2 linked regions of the Rattus norvegicus genome follow. The protein of the gene in region 1 purifies or fractionates together with the protein of each later gene. This does not show direct contact. Links are inferred from orthologs where the notes say so. Each region holds a gene or a part of one and is shown in the gene's direction. Other genes may lie near its edges. The genes, in order: Polr3d and Polr1d.

Region 1 (7,822 bases):
TGATACATCTTAGCGCAGTATTTTTTATCTTTTGTTTTTCTGAGGCATGGTTTCTTTGTGTAGCCCTGGCTGTCCTGGAACTCTCTGTAGACTAGGCTGGGAGACTCACCTATTACCTCCCAAGTGCTGGAATTAAAGGTGAGCACCACTACCACCCTCAGGGCTGGGATAAAAGGCACATGCCACCACCGACAAGCTAACACAGCACTTTTTTTAAAAAAAGGATTTATTTGTTCTTATTCTATGAGCATAAACGGTTTTTGCCTGCATGCATGCATGTGCACTGTTAGCTTGCCTGGTGACCTCGGAGGCCACCAAATCCCCTGAAAATAAATTATGGACAGCTGAGAGCCACTACCTAAGAGTTGGGAACAAGGGCAGCAAGTTTCTTAATCATGGAGGCACCTCCAGTCCTCTTGCATAAGGACTCTTTGAAAACAATTAGTAGCATTGATGATGACCCACAGAATACTCATCGAAAATAGTCTAGCCACCATGGAAGCCAGTTTGTTGTTCATGTTTCCAAGATTAATCATTCAATCATACAAATCAACAGGTGCACTCATTCCAGAGAAAATTTGTATTGACACAAAAAGCTGCATGGTTATTCACAGCAATTTTATTCACAATAGACACAAACTAAACAAGCCAGATGTCTTTTTTTTTTCCCCCCTTCGGAGCTGGGGACCGAACCCAGGGCCTTGCGCTTCCTAGGCAAGCGCTCTACCGCTGAGCTAAGTCTCCAACCCGGCCAGATGTCTTTCAAAGGATGATTAAAGAGACCACAGATACAAAGTAGGAAAAGGAACAAACTAATGATATATATCACTTGGATAATAGCCACAAAATTATGGGGATAAAAGTGCAGCCACAAAAGCTGGGCACGATGGCACATTCCTTTAATTCTAGAACCGCTGAGGCAGAGAGGCAGATACTTTACTGAACGTCTGAAGTCAAGTCTTGTCTCTACAGTGAGTTTCGGGTCAGCCAGAGATACATAATAAGACTCTATCTTCTGAAATAACAAAATGTTAGAAATGGAGACTAGATTAGTGGGGGGAGGAGTGAGGAAAGGAAGAGAAGGCTCAGCAGTAAGGAAGACTGTATCTGAAAGGGCAGCTCCAGGGATTTCTGTAGTGTTGAAATGTCTTGTACCATGACTGCAAAAAATGTTAATACTCTGGTTTTGATAAAAGGGCTAGATCTTACAATTGGGGAAGGCAAAGTAAACAGAATTTAGGCTCTGCTGATCATCACCACCACCACCATCATCACCACCACCTCCACCACCATCACCACCACCATCAACATCACCACCACCACCACCACCATCACAACCATCACCATCATCATCACCACCATCATCACCACCACTACCACCACCATCACCATCATCACCACCATCACCACCACTACCACCACCATCACCATCATCACCACCATCACCATCACTACCACCACCATCACCACTACCATCATCACCATCACCACCACTACCATCACCATCACCACCATCATCACCTCTACCACCGTCTCGATTTGTAGTCCAAGCTGGTAAACTTGGACCGGCCTGCTTTTGCCTCCCAAGTGCTGGGTTTATAGGCATGCACCAACATGCCTGACTCTCCACATCATTTTACTTTTCCTTTAAGTAACTGCATGTGTATGGCATCAAAATGAAGTTTACTTTTAATATGTACTTCTTCTGAAACTCCTAGGGATGTAATCTAAAAGAAAACAAAAAAGTTGGATCTATCAAATGTACACTAGTTATTTCTAACGATATACCTGTTCAAATGAATGCATTAAGGAAGATAAATATATATATATATATACATATATATATATATATACACACACACACACACATATATATACATATATACTCCTATTGGTCATTTGTTTCCAACAAAGGATACAGTATTGTGTGGCACAATGTTACAGTACATCACTAATATTTTAATGCTAGCAGTCTATGGAATTCTAGCAGAAATAGGTTCCTTCCCTAGAACTACATAATGTTTTTAATTCGTATTGGGGATCTCTGTGGTGTAACATTAAATGACTTTTTCCCCACAGATTAAGTTATATATATTTGTATATATTAAATGTATACATCCATTACAATAAAATTTTTTTAAGCTGGGATTGGTGGTGCACATCTGTAATCTGTGCCCTGAGGGGTGTCTGTGAAGAGACAGGACTGCTGCCAAGTTCGAGGCCAGCCTGGTCTACTTAAGTTCCAGACTTGATAGGGTTACAAGAGTAGTGTTGTCTTAAAAACACACACTACACACACACACTCCCAACCAAAAAAAAACAAAAAACAAAAACTCCCACTTTAAGAGCAAACTTCAGTTCCAGGCTCTTTCCAGATTTGACTAAGCAATCATGAACCCAGATAGGCAAAGAGCTATTGGCTGCTCTGTCCAAACTGCGTTAGGACCTCAGGGATCCGCAAAGGAAGGCGCTCACGAGCAAAGGGACAAGCCCGAAGGTACAGTGACCACTCCAAGGTCAATGCAGGGAAGCTGCAGCCAGCCTCGGCCTGAGGGCAAGGCTCCCTATGTCCGGAGATGCATCCCGAGAGCCGACCTCACTGTTCACAGAGGCTGCGCAGTACACCCCGTACAGCAGGTAGGCGACCTAGGAGGCCCCCCCGACCCTGTGGACCGCACTAGCACTGTCATCCAGGAGCAGAGACACACCCCCACGAGTCACACCCCCGCACAGTTCAGAATCCACTCCCATATCCTTTTTCGCCCTCTCAACCCAGCTTTTCCCGACTCCGGGAAGAACCGGGAAGAGAAGGCGGAGGACAGCGAGGCACCGTCTGATAAATACTATGGTCCGATCACGCCCCCTTGATGTCACTTCCGCCCTAGGGTAAGATGGCAGCCCCCGGTTCTTGCCACGCAGACTTCCGCCTTGCCGTGAGACCGGCGGCCGGTGGTTGGTCTCGTTAGAGGTGAGGTCGTGAAACTCGGCGTAGAGCCTCAACGCAGGTACGTCATGCAGTCCCGGGGAGAGGGCATGTGACGAGTCCAAAGCTAGAGGTGGGGCGCTCCGGGAAACCTCGCCACGTGGGACTGGGAGGAGCTGTGGTGCAGCGGGAACGACGCACGGACGGGGGGGGGGTACAGAGGGGGATTACGTGGGTGGGGTTCCGCCCAGGGTCTTCGCATCCAGCCCTTGGAGTCACTTTGTTGCCTACTTTCCTCTAGGAACCATGTCGGAAGGAAACGCCGCGGGCGAGCCCAGCAATCCTGGAGGGCCCCGACCCCTTCTCTCTGGGGGCCGGGGACTTGTGGGCCGGCGGCCCGCTCCCCCGCTTACGCCAGGCCGCCTTCCCTCCATCCGCTCTCGGGACCTCACCCTTGGCGGTGTCAAGAAGGTACCGGCGAGTGTATTTGTACAGAAACCCAAATGCTTTGAGTTCCAGGCCGAAGGGAGGCAATTCGTGATGTTCATTCATATACGGCCATTTGTCCCTGATGGGATGTCAGCCTCTAGCGAGAGACCTTCAAGCCTAGGTGCTGGTACAAGACATTGACATGGTTTCATAGGCAATTAAAAGGCAGAGAACCTAGTTAATTCAAGACATTCGGAAGTGCTTATTATGTTATGGGCACCTTACAAACTCCCATGAAAGTCAGACAAAATTGCTTTACTTGGTAGAGTGTTCATAACTCTGTGGATGTCAGTAAGGAAGCAAATAATCTAGTGGTGATGAATGAATCTTAGGCATGCAGGTAACTAACTGCTCTTTGTCCTCTCCCATTATGTGCATAACAGTAGATATAAGAGTACTCTGAAAAGAAAGCAGAACAAACAGGATAAAGCTACGGTAGTCTCCCTGTGTCATCCATTTGTCAGTGCTGGCAGATCTGTCTCTCCAAGCCTTCCCAGAATTGTTGGTCTGTTGAGCACTGCGAAAATACAGTACTGTATTTTACTTTTCAGAAAACCTTCACCCCAAATATCATCAGTCGGAAGATCAAAGAAGAGTAAGTACATAGGATTAATGAACACCACTCACCCTCTTTTGCTCTGAGTTTGAGGAAGTAATTAGGTGTGCAGCCTGGGAATTTTAACTTTTTGCCATTGGCTTATTCACCAGTGGATCTCATGCTTTAATCCCAGGTTATGTAGAGATATGTTTGCTTTTGAGACAGTGCTTCTCTACATGGCCTTTCATATCCTGGAACTCACTGTGTAGATTGCTGGCCTAGAACTCCCAGGGATCTGCTTGCCTCTCAGATCTATGTCCTGAGCCCTGGGATTAGGGTGTATACCATGCCTGGCTCTGAGGCACTTTGCATTAGAGGGCCTGCCTGTCTGTCAATCCATCCATCTGTTTGTCTGACTGCAATGAATAGCTGAGATATCAACTTACAGAGAGGGGCATTTCATTTTGGACGTCCAAGCTTTGGAGGTTTAAGTCTGTGATGAGGTGGTTCTATGCTTTTGGGTCTATGGTATGGCAGTGAGCTGGTGTCAGAGAATACCCAAGGGGAGAAAGAAGTCAAGGAGAGGAAAGGGCTGAGTTTCTGTCCTCCTTCAGGAGCTGGACAACCACCCAGTAGGTTCCACCTCAGCTTCCTCCTAATTCTGCTGAGGTGGAGCAAAGCTCTTCATACTCCTCTTAAGTTCCTCTGCTTTCCAGTCTTTCTACTTCCAGGCAAAAACAGGACAGAAAGCCCACATTTTGGACAAGGAGGTAAAGTGAGAGGAAATTAAAGGCCGTGCTTTATCAGATGTAACAGGTGTAACAACAGGTGTAACAACAGGTGTAACAGCAGGTGTAACAGCAGGTGTAACAAAGGGTTGGCTTGTGATTCTCATGGTCTCTTTTCTGGCTTGCAAACGCTGCTCAGTTGGTTGAAATGAGGTGGGTGAGGAGGGTTTGTTTCCTGAGGCAGACCCTTATATCTGTCCTCATCCCCAGGCCAAAGGAAGAAGTAACTATGAAGAAGGAAAAGCGTGAACGGGACAGAGACCGCCAGCGTGAGGGTCATGGACGGGGACGTGGCCGCCCAGAAGTGATCCAGTCCCATTCCATCTTTGAGCAGGGTCCAGCAGAAATGATGAAAAAAAAAGGTACCAGGAAGGGATCTGGATTGCGGGTCAGACCACCTGAGAAAGCAGAACATGGGATTCTCCTTTCCTAGCTTGGTTTCCCTTGCTGTTGCTGTCCCCCTGATTTAACCCTAGTGAACGGCATGATTTCCTGCAGGGAACTGGGATAAGACTGTGGATATGTCAGACATGGGGCCTTCTCATATCATCAACATCAAAAAAGAGAAGAGAGAAACAGATGAAGAAACCAAGCAGATCTTGCGCATGCTGGAGAAGGATGATGTAGGTTCCAGCAGCCTGGGGGACCGGTTTCTTTGTATCTGCTAACAAGGGCTTTTAGGAAGCCAGGCCAGGGACATCTTTGGGCTTTTGGTCACAGGAGCACTAAGGTGGGGCTGGGGATGCAGCTCCGTGGAAAGACTGCTTGCCTCCATGTGTGAGACATATACACACAAAGGAGAGGGAGTGACAGGTCCTGAAATGGGCTGTGACATAGGCACACATGCTGACATTTAATGTGACCCCCCCACTCTTTGGCAGTTCATCGATGACCCAGGGCTAAAGAATGACACACGGAACATGCCAGTACAACTGCCACTGGCTCATTCAGGGTGGCTTTTCAAGGAGGAGAGTGAAGAGCCAGACGTTAAGCCTTTTTCTGCTGGCCCCAAGGAAGAAGACATGGAGGTGGATGTGCCAGCTGTAAAAGGTAACCCGTGCCACCGACTTCCCCTCCTCCCTAGCTGTCCCCAGAAGCCCTCACATGACCTCCAAGACTGCAGCTCAGCAGTGTCTCCGTTTCCTTCCCACTCAGAAGTACAGGCGTGGAATCAAGACATAAGCTCCCGCCTCAGTCCACATGTCTTTGTGCCAGTACGCCTGGCCTCAGCTGTCTCATTTTAGAGGAGTCACGCACTCTTGAGTTTCTTTCTTGTTCCTCTGTGTAACTTCTGGCTGAATAACAGTGAAGCACATGGACATGAAGGGTTGGGAACAGAGACCTGGCTTAGCCGGTAGGGTTACTTGATGTCTTTTCCTTCTTCTCACTTTGGGCAGTGAAAGAGGAGCCACGGGATGAGGAAGAGGAGGCGAAAGTGAAAGCCCCTCCAAGAGCAGCCAGGAAGACCCCTGGTCTTCCAAAGGACGTGTCTGTGGCAGAGCTGCTGAGGGAGTTGAGCCTCACGAAGGAGGAGGAGCTGCTGTTCCTTCAGCTGCCTGATACCCTCCCTGGGCAGCCGCCTACTCAGGACATCAAGCCTGTCAAGACAGAGGTGCAGGGCGAGGATGGACAGATGGTAGTCATAAAGCAAGAAAAGGACCGGGTATGCTCAAGAGCGAGTTCTGGGGAAATTCTAGGCTGATAGCTCCAGGACATAGCCCTTGTTGCATAGATCACTGCTGCTGTGTTTCTCTCTGGGAAACAGAATAGGATTCATTCATGAAAGCTGTTGCCTAGTAACTACCTGCTGCTTCTCTCCACAGGAAACCAGGCTAGCAGAGAATGCTTGTACCTTGGCTGACCTGACAGAGGGTCAAGTGGGCAAGCTACTCATCCGCAAATCAGGGAAGGTGCAGCTTCTCCTGGGCAAGGTGACTCTGGATGTGACCATGGGAACAACCTGTTCTTTCCTGCAGGTACAACCCCTGTGGGCCAGAGAGAGGCTTGGGGAAGTATTAAACAGCCTGTGCTTAGGCAGTAAGGAACTTTTGGGTCACTGGACTGAGGGCTGGGTTGGGTGTGAGTGTGTGGTTCTCACTGATGTCTCTGTTGAATGGCAGGAACTGGTGTCTGTGGGCCTTGGGGACAGCAGGACAGGGGAGATGACAGTCCTAGGACATGTGAAGCACAAACTTGTATGTTCTCCTGATTTTGAATCTCTCTTGGATCACAAACACCGGTGAAATGGACAGATGGAGGAGGATGGTGACTGCCCATGACCGCTGCCTACTCCAGACCTTTGTTCTCAAAGACATGCAGCCCAGTTGGGGCCTCTTTAACCCACTTGTTGCAGCTTTTGGTGGCTATAGTCCCAGTCCCCCCAACCCCCACACTAGGGCCCATGCTGCCCCCCGCCCCCCCAGCAGCTATGAGTGGGAATTGACACAGCATGAGTATGGAAACGTCCTCACTTCTGGGAACCTGACCCTGCTATTTATTTTATTTATGTCTTAATCCTCAACTGACTGCATCCTCGCAGAGCAGGATGGGGCAGGCTTCTTTTTGGGGAGCCATGGGCTACAGGGCTCAAGGGGGTAGGAAAGAACCGGGATAGGATAGAACTGCCGGAGACTTAAAACTCAGTCTCAGCTCACTGGTCTCTAGTTCAGTGTCCCTGAACAAACTACCTAACCTTTCTGAGCCTCGTAGTCCTCACCTGACATGTGAGGATAATACCTACCTCACAGGGTTGGGGTGAGGATCAAACGGAATGTTGTAGATGAGAACTCCTTGCACAAGACCAGGCATACATTGTATAAGGGTGTGTATGTATGTATACACATATATACACATACCCATAGGCGCTCAATAAATGTTAGTTTTCCTTTCCTTTGCCTCAGTCTATTTCTAAGCAAATGAACATTATACTCTGAAGAAGTAAGTGGTTCTGCTCACATCCCTACTTTTGTGACTCCATTGCATTTTAAACATTTAACTCTCAGTGCTGAGGCTAAGACCTGGTGTATGCCAGGCAAGTGCTGTACCACTGAGCCATAACCCAGCTCTCACTCATGCTTACTCTGC
Region 2 (7,758 bases), on another chromosome or scaffold:
GGAATCAAAACCAGATGGAATAGTAATTTGAAAGGCAAGTGGAGGGGGTTGGGGATTTAGCTCAGCGGTAGAGCGCTTGCCCTGGGCTAGCAAGCGCAAGGCCCTGGGTTCGGTCCCCGGCTCCGAAAAAAAGAAAAAAAAAAAAAAAAAAAAAAAGAAAGGCAAGTGGAAGAACCCGACTCCTCTTTTGCCTCCATAACCAGCTTAACCAGTCCATACTCACCCCCCCCCAAAAAAAAAAAAAAAAAAAAAAAAAAAAAAACCAGGAATCACAGGGCATAGTGGCATAGGCCTTTAATCCCAGCACTCTTGGAGGCAGAGGCAGGTGCATCTCTGAGTTCAAGGCCAGCCTGGTCTACAGAGTGAGTTCCAGGACAGCCAGGGCTACACAGAGAAACCCTGTCTCTAAAACAAAAACAGAAAGCAGACAGGCAAATCAAGAAACCAAGGATCAACGTCTTTCACTGCTCCTACCTAGTCACTCTCTGAGGAGTCCATACCGCCCGAACGCCACACCAGCTTTCTTCACCCGCTGATGACAAGCTTTGGCTGAGCTTTTCCTGAGCCATAGCCATGACTGTTTTTATTTTTTCAGGTTTTCAAACCCACCAGGCTAAAATGCTAAAGAGCTAAGAGCGGGTAATAAAGCCCGGCAAACACAGATAATATGCACAGAGACTTCACGGTAGCCCCATTCTGTTTCTCACTCTTGGGACCCCCACTGTCCCCCAGCTATCCCTATGGAATGCAAACCTCACCACAGCATCTTCCTGCTTGAAATGAACACCCCACGATCACTGACTGGATGAAGTGTCCAAACGTCTTCATGTGCTACACAAAATCCTTTCTTTTTAGTATTTCAACAGATATCTGAGGGTCCAGTTGTAGAACATACCATGAACCCTACCTAAGATGAACAAAAAAACCAGCCCCTGACCCCTATTACTTTAACCCCAAACATTGTGTTCTTCAGATTAACCATACGCACAGCAGATAATGTCACATTCTACAGCCATAAGCATTTAGGATGCTCCCAGAGAGAGCCTGTGCCAATTCCTCTGACACATTCTAGGCAGAAATGATTTTAAGTTCCCACATTACTTTGTTCAAATTACTTTCCGGTAGTGGACTAAGAAGTATACAGCCACTGAGCAACTTTGGGCAAGAAATGATCCCTTTCCTCAAAGTTGCCAAAGCGGTAGACACTGAGTAGCTAAATGTTTATACAATGAAAAGGCTCAAACTTGAAGATTAGAGGAAAAGAACACAGACTTAGTGGATGGACTAAATTAAAAGCAATGTGACTCTAGAGCTGTTCTGAGTTGGCCTACATTTGACCCCTTTGGGAAAACTCACATGGAATTTGGACAGGCTAAAATGGCAAAACCTTCTTAGCTCTGGCTCAACAATGATCTGCAGGCCAAATAGGACACTAGATTCCCCCAGGTTCCTTCTTTACCTGCCAAAGTCCTTTTTTCCGAAGGTGTGGGGGAGGGAGGGTGTTCAAATCTATCAAAGCAAACAGGATTGACCTACTGAGATCCAACTTCGTCTGTGCTGTGTCACTGTACAGGCTAGAGAAAAAGCAAATTGTGTCCTGGGAAGGAGGCCAATTTCTAAGTACTGTGACTACAAAGAATGTGACATTCTTAAAGTGAAGGCAGTTTGGATAAACTGGAGCTCACAGAATCCTCCAACTATCCTTGCCATTGGTTTCTGTGATTTTATTTTTAAAGAAAAATTGGCGGGGTGTGGGGCGCACGCCTCTCTAACCCAACAGCACTCAGGAAAGAGGTGGATCCCTCTGAGTTCCAGGCTGGCCAAGGCTACAGAGAAAAGAAAAATTGATTCGAAAAAGCCACGCGGAAGCGTCCTTAGGCTCCTGGCAAACACACAATCTTAAATGCAAACGGAAATACTAGAACACTCCATTTAAAAAAAAAAAAAAAAAAGCCCTTGTGTGAAACGTGGCAGAAAGCTTTCAAAAGCCAGCGATGTTTTTCCCCAAGAGGTGTTTTGTGCGCAAATGCTTCCAAATCGGGATTCATATTTTGGAAATTATACCCCCACGCTCCCAAACATGTCAAATCTGAAGAGAAAGGTGAGACTTCCCCCGCAACAGGCTGGGGCGGGGAGGAGGGTCTCTCTGCTCATCCCTTCCAGGGAACAAAACCAAAGGGCAGCTGGCTAGCGCCACTCTAGCTCCCGACAACGTGCAGACGCGAAGTGCAACAACTCGTCCTCAAACGTCCATGTCTTGAGAAGCGAGAGGCGCGCAGAACCGCACCGGGTCTCCTGGAACCTGCACCCGCACCGGGCCGGGCCAGACACCACGCGGCCCCCAGCGGTTCCCCAGATGGTCCCCCCTACCCTGACGCCACACCCCGTCACCGCCCGCACCTGAGGCGAAGTAACTCACTGACGGAAAGCGGCGGGCTCCCCGCGGGCGCGCTAACGAGGACGCTACCCGGCTCCGCTCTGCCGGGACTCACCGCCGCCGATTTCCTGGCGAGAAGCAAAGTCCGGCCAAGACTTTACTTCTCAACCGCCCCTGCTGCCTTTCCCCTCGGGGGCGAGCGCAGAGGCCCAACCCGACACGCACCTGAGCCAATCAACGGCGGGCGAAGGCGGGACTAAGAGCGGGCTTGGAGCCGCTCGACCAATCAAGGAATTCTAGGGGCCGGGTCGGCCCTGCTCATCACTCCCGAGTTAGAGTGAGCGCGTTCCGCCCTCCGCCATCGCTCCCGGCCGGATTCTCCCCTCAGACACACAGAGAAGACGCTCGGGAAGTGTCTGCGTGCACCCCTGGAGCGCCGCGCCTGGCGTGGGACAGCTGAAGGGAGGGGAGGGCTGCGGGACCAGGCTGAGGGAGAACAGGTGGCGCGGGGCGGCTGACGTGTAGGTGTGCAGGGCAAGAGGACAGCTGGGTGGGGCGGGGATCCAGCCTGGCCAGGGTCAGGTGGGAGAAGAGAGGATGCACCTGAGAAGGGCGGTTCCTTGGGTTCAAAGGGAAAAGGAGCTGCAAGTCCACCGCGTGAGCTCCGGAGGAAGGAGGGCGGTGCTCCAAACTCTCACTTCTCTCCCAAAAGAAAGACAAACGCTGCCCTTGCACCTATTGGAGATGTACATTTGCACCCCTGGGAGAAAATAAAAAGCCCACAGTATCGTCAGGAAAGTCACCTCTGCACACTAGTCTCTCTGCTTTTTCAAGGTTGCAATATGCTGGGTGCCCCAGGAAAGGCCCCTGAGGACTCCGGTCCCGGGAATAGCCAGCCATGGGGCAGTCCCGTTCCTCGAGACTCTAGCAAGTCAGAGATCCGACCCCGACGCTAAATAGCAGATGTCTCGGGGCAACAGGCGAGAAGCCTGTGATCTACGGTAGCACTCGGGGACAGAATGTGCACCGCAGCCGCCTGGCTTCCGCAGTTCCAGGTGAGCGGTCCAGCCCGAGCCTGGGCGTGGTCGGGGGCGGGTTCTGTTTTAGCCCCGCCCTTCAGAGGGGGCCCTGCCGCGCCGCTGCGGCTCCGCCTCCCTCCTTCCGTCATCCGCTCCTTCCGTCGGTGGTTTCTTCCTTCCTGCCTTGTCCCGCACCTTTCGCGACATGGGGAAGATCTTCCTTTTCGCCAGCGCCACCTGAGGATTTCCCGGAGCCGCCCCCCGCGATGGAGGACGATCAGGAGCTGGAGAGGTAAGGTTGGAGGCAAAGAGTGGAGTGGGGCGGCGGGTCGGGCCAGAGAAGCGGGTAGCGAAGGGGCACGCGGCCGACTGAGCCCGGCGTGGCGGCTAGGCCTGACCCCAGGCGCTGGGGAAGGGAGGAGAGAGAATAGAGCGGGCCGGGTTGGGAAGAGGGAGGAGCCGTGGGTTCATTTATAACAGAAAAGCCCAGAGGGACGCTAGCCATCCGGGATGGGAGAGAGGTAGGGAATCCAGCTGTAAGTCCCAAACTGCCACCACCCTCATTAGAACTGCCTCGTGTAAGGTCACGCACCGGGCCAGCCGTCCCGAGTGGCGGTCCTGGCGTGTTAAGTTAGCTAAAGTTACTGCAACTCCGCTCTGTGCAGACTGCTCGTAAATTCTCTCTGTCCGCCAAATTCTCCCTCCTATTAAACTTTTCACTTCCTTTCACTTAGTTTCCTTACCTCTTTCAAACGGAAGCTGTAACTGAGCCTGCCACCCTGATACCTTGTGGTTGCCATTTTTATGCTAAAGTAATCGTGTTTTTTATGCCTGTCAACTCCCTTTTCATCTAAAGCAGGGCCTACCCTATTATAACTCTGCCCCTTTCTTTGCTCTATCCGAAGATTTTTGCAAACAATTAACTTCGTGGGTTGTTTTTCTTTTGTTTTGTTTTTTTTCTGAGGTGGTACCCACCCCCTTGCTGGAGTCAAATGAAGTAGGGAGAAACGAGTTAAATATTTATGGCTAGAAGTGTGGAGGCAGGAAAATGAGGCAGTGAATCTTTAAGAGTTAATCAGAAAACGATATTCCGTATGATCTCATTCTTACACAAAAAAATATGTGTGTAGAAAAATATCAGGATTGAAGACCTCAATGGCTGAAGGCGAGAGGAAGACAGCCCTGGAAATGGTCCAGGCAGCTGGAACAGATAGACAGTGTGTGACATTTGTACTACACGAGGAGGACCATACACTAGGAAATTGTCTGCGGTACATAATCATGAAGAACCCGGAAGTGGAATTTTGTGGTTACACTACGACCCATCCTTCAGAGAGCAAAATTAATTTGCGAATTCAGACACGGGGTGCACTTCCAGCTGTTGAGCCGTTTCAGAAAGGCCTGAATGAGCTCTTGAATGTCTGCCAGCATGTGCTTGTCAAGTTTGAGGCCAGCGTAAAGGACTATAAAGATAAAAAGGCAAGCAAAAACGAACCCACGCTCTAGTCCCTCGTGCAGGGTACAAGCAGGACCACCCTCAGGATGGTACAGAGCCCAGAACTAGAATTGGTGACTACAGCATGTTCTGTCCTATAGGAAAATGTGGCTCTAGCTATTGACCCATTACAGCTTTTGGAATCTCTGCAAGTCTGTTTGCCTAATAAATTCTCGCTTTTGTTTAAACTAGTTTGAGTGGTTTCTCTTCCTTGAACCTAGATGAACCCCCAAGGATGGTGTCACCCCTTAATTGAACCAACACTATAAGTGAACAGATGTAATTGGGCCGAGTCAGAGGTTGTGATCACAGATCTTAAAAAGACTATTTCTATATGATCGAGATGCTGTGGGAAGGAGAGGTAAAGTAGAATGAGGTCCAGGACACTATGATTTAAAAGGCTGGAAAGAAGATTGGAAGAGGGACTTGAGGTGGTGTTTGTTTTTACATTTTCCTTGTATGTGCACACAAACATGCCGTGGTACATGCATGGCAGTCTGTTCTCTCCTAACGCCATATTGGAGCCATTTGATGATTGTTGGGCTTCACAGCAAGCACCTGTACCCACTAAGGCATCTCCGGGCTGTTTTTTTTTTTTTTATTAATGCAAATGCTTCTTTGATATGATTAGTAGACTACCTTAAGGATGAAGATAATGTGAAGTACTCCTCGGAGTTTTAATTTCGCAAGAGAATTTGAATTGGTATCAAGCTCCATCTTCGTAGCTTTTGTAGGATGTCAATTTATTGCTTGAATTCCAGAACACTAATGAAATATGTAGTCACGACATGAGTAAACCAGTTTTTACTAGGTTTCGTGCAGGCCTGTTTGTGTGGATATGTATGCATGCACATGGAAGCCAGAAGTTAACCTTTAGTTTGGTTGGTTTTAGGGCACGTTCACCAGCTAGCCCCGGCTGACTTGGAATGCACTTGGTAAACTTGCCCTTGCCCTAGTTTCTCACATATTGGGGTTAAAGGGGTTTGTCAGTTAGGCTAGGCTACCCCAGGAACCTATTTGTTATCTGTCTCCCGAGCATTGGTGTTGGAAGCTTAGCCACCCTGCCCAATTTCTTTTACGTAAGCTCTGGAAATTAAAATCAGATCCTTAAAGTTTGTGGCAAGTGCTTCAGCAACCGAGTTGTCTCTCCAGCTCCAACTTTAATTATTGGAAAGACTGGAATTACCAGGTAACATTTTTAGTCTTTAGGTAGGAGCCCAGGGTTACATAGAAGAGATAACATTTGTTAGAAAGTCAGGATTTGGAGGAAGAGAATTCTGTACAGAAGAAATGACATTTTGCAGAAGAAATGACATTTTGGGAAACTAACAATATTAACAAAACTTTTCACATCCCAAGAGTCATCTGGTTTATCTCTTTAATCGTTTGTGTCTTGTAAGTATTCTACCCAGGCGTGACTTAATTCACTCTAAGTATCTGTCACTCCTGAGCCGAGTCACCTCTTGCTCTTGAGCTTTGGGATCTTTGGTGATGCTTGTCTTCAGTCAGAACTCCACTTTCTGCCAGGGATGATGGTGCATGCCTGTAATCTCAGCATTAAAAAGATGCAAGCAGGAGAATTACAAGTTAAAGATCCAACTGACTTGAATAACAAGAGTTTGCCTCAGAAAAACAGCACCAACATACATACATGCTTTTAATCCCAGCACTCTGGAGGCAGAGGCAGAGGCAGAGGCAGGCAGCTCTCTTAAGTTTGAGGCCAGCCTAGTCTTCAAAGTGAGATAGGAAGTCCAAGGCTACATAGAGAAACTCTGTCTCAAAAAGTCAAAAAAAAAAAAAAAAAGGAACCTTTAGGTTATATTTGACCTCTTGTACCCTGCCAAGTGCCTATATTTCCTAGACTTGACCCACTTTTTAAAAAGATACTTTTGTACTCACTGAATGCCTGCATTGTACCAGGCCTTGAAAACAGATAACAGTGGAAACTTGTTTTTGTTTTTGGAAGAAGGGTTTCTCTGTAGTCCTGACTGTCCAGGAACTCACTTCAGACCAGGCTGCCTCCCACATGGTGGGATTAAAGGCATGAACTACCGCTGCCTGGCTTGGCAGTAGGAATTTTTTTAAATGGAGTTAAAAAAACAAAGTTTTAAACAAATACAAGGCCAGATAGAGAACTTGAGAAGTGTCTGCTTTGAACACAGAAACCAGGGAAGGAGTTCCAGAGATCGTAGGAAAAGAAGAGGCTATGCGGAGTGGAGAGCAAATGCACACTTGGGGGGAAATGTGAGCTCCTGAAGCAGAAACTAAAGGTTGGAGAACTTAAAGATTTCTATGGTTTAGCATAGCAGATAAGGAGAAGGGCCCATCTTCTTGATTCAGTGAGGAAAAGAGCTGGAGTGCTGTGTTATTTCCATTACAGAGTGGGATGATGGGGCAAATTGTAGCAAAACCAGACCAGAAGTGGCCCAAAATGCTGATAACACGGACAATAGGGAGAAGGGTGAAGTCCTAGGAACAGGATGTCAGATAGAGAACCAGATGTTTCCATCTCCTGTCTAGGTTCGAGGCCAATTACTAGGACAAGGAGCTTAGAAGTAACTTGTGTTGTGAGGGTTGCGGGCCCTGGGAGAGATACAAGCTGAAGGTAACCATGTGAGTCCTGATCATAAAGATGTAAGTCAACAGAGGCTGGAAAGTGATAAGGAAGGGGCCGGGAAGCAAGCCTCAGGCAACCTCAGTGTTAGGTAGAGTATATACCTGATGAGACAGTAAATTCTGCTGTGGAAGATGCTGAGTAAGTCAGCCCTATGACTGGGGAAGAAAAGGTCCTTTGAAATTAGCCCAGAGGCCACTAGGCTGTGGGTCGAATTCATCTGGGGTCTAAGGAGAGGACTCTGCTGAGGAAT

Evidence for each region.
Region 2: the proteins of Polr3d (region 1) and Polr1d purify together in Homo sapiens (affinity purification with mass spectrometry; 6 studies listed by BioGRID and IntAct, counting the BioPlex papers as one, with this or other methods). This does not show direct contact. The link is inferred for Rattus norvegicus from reciprocal best matches to the Homo sapiens genes POLR3D and POLR1D.

The regions. Positions count from the first base shown.
Region 1 is NC_086033.1:51,921,094-51,928,915, reverse strand, and holds Polr3d (DNA-directed RNA polymerase III subunit RPC4), read left to right. Parts: upstream 1-2,963; 5' UTR 2,964-3,005; exon of another isoform or gene 3,006-3,056; intron 3,057-3,224; 5' UTR 3,225-3,229; coding exon 3,230-3,394; intron 3,395-3,963; coding exon 3,964-4,007; intron 4,008-4,948; coding exon 4,949-5,100; intron 5,101-5,236; coding exon 5,237-5,361; intron 5,362-5,619; coding exon 5,620-5,788; intron 5,789-6,135; coding exon 6,136-6,401; intron 6,402-6,561; coding exon 6,562-6,714; intron 6,715-6,858; coding exon 6,859-6,981; 3' UTR 6,982-7,633; downstream 7,634-7,822. UniProt on the Homo sapiens protein: DNA-dependent RNA polymerase catalyzes the transcription of DNA into RNA using the four ribonucleoside triphosphates as substrates.
Region 2 is NC_086030.1:13,113,939-13,121,696, reverse strand, and holds the start of Polr1d (DNA-directed RNA polymerases I and III subunit RPAC2), read left to right. Parts: upstream 1-3,627; 5' UTR 3,628-3,662; coding exon 3,663-3,688; intron 3,689-7,758.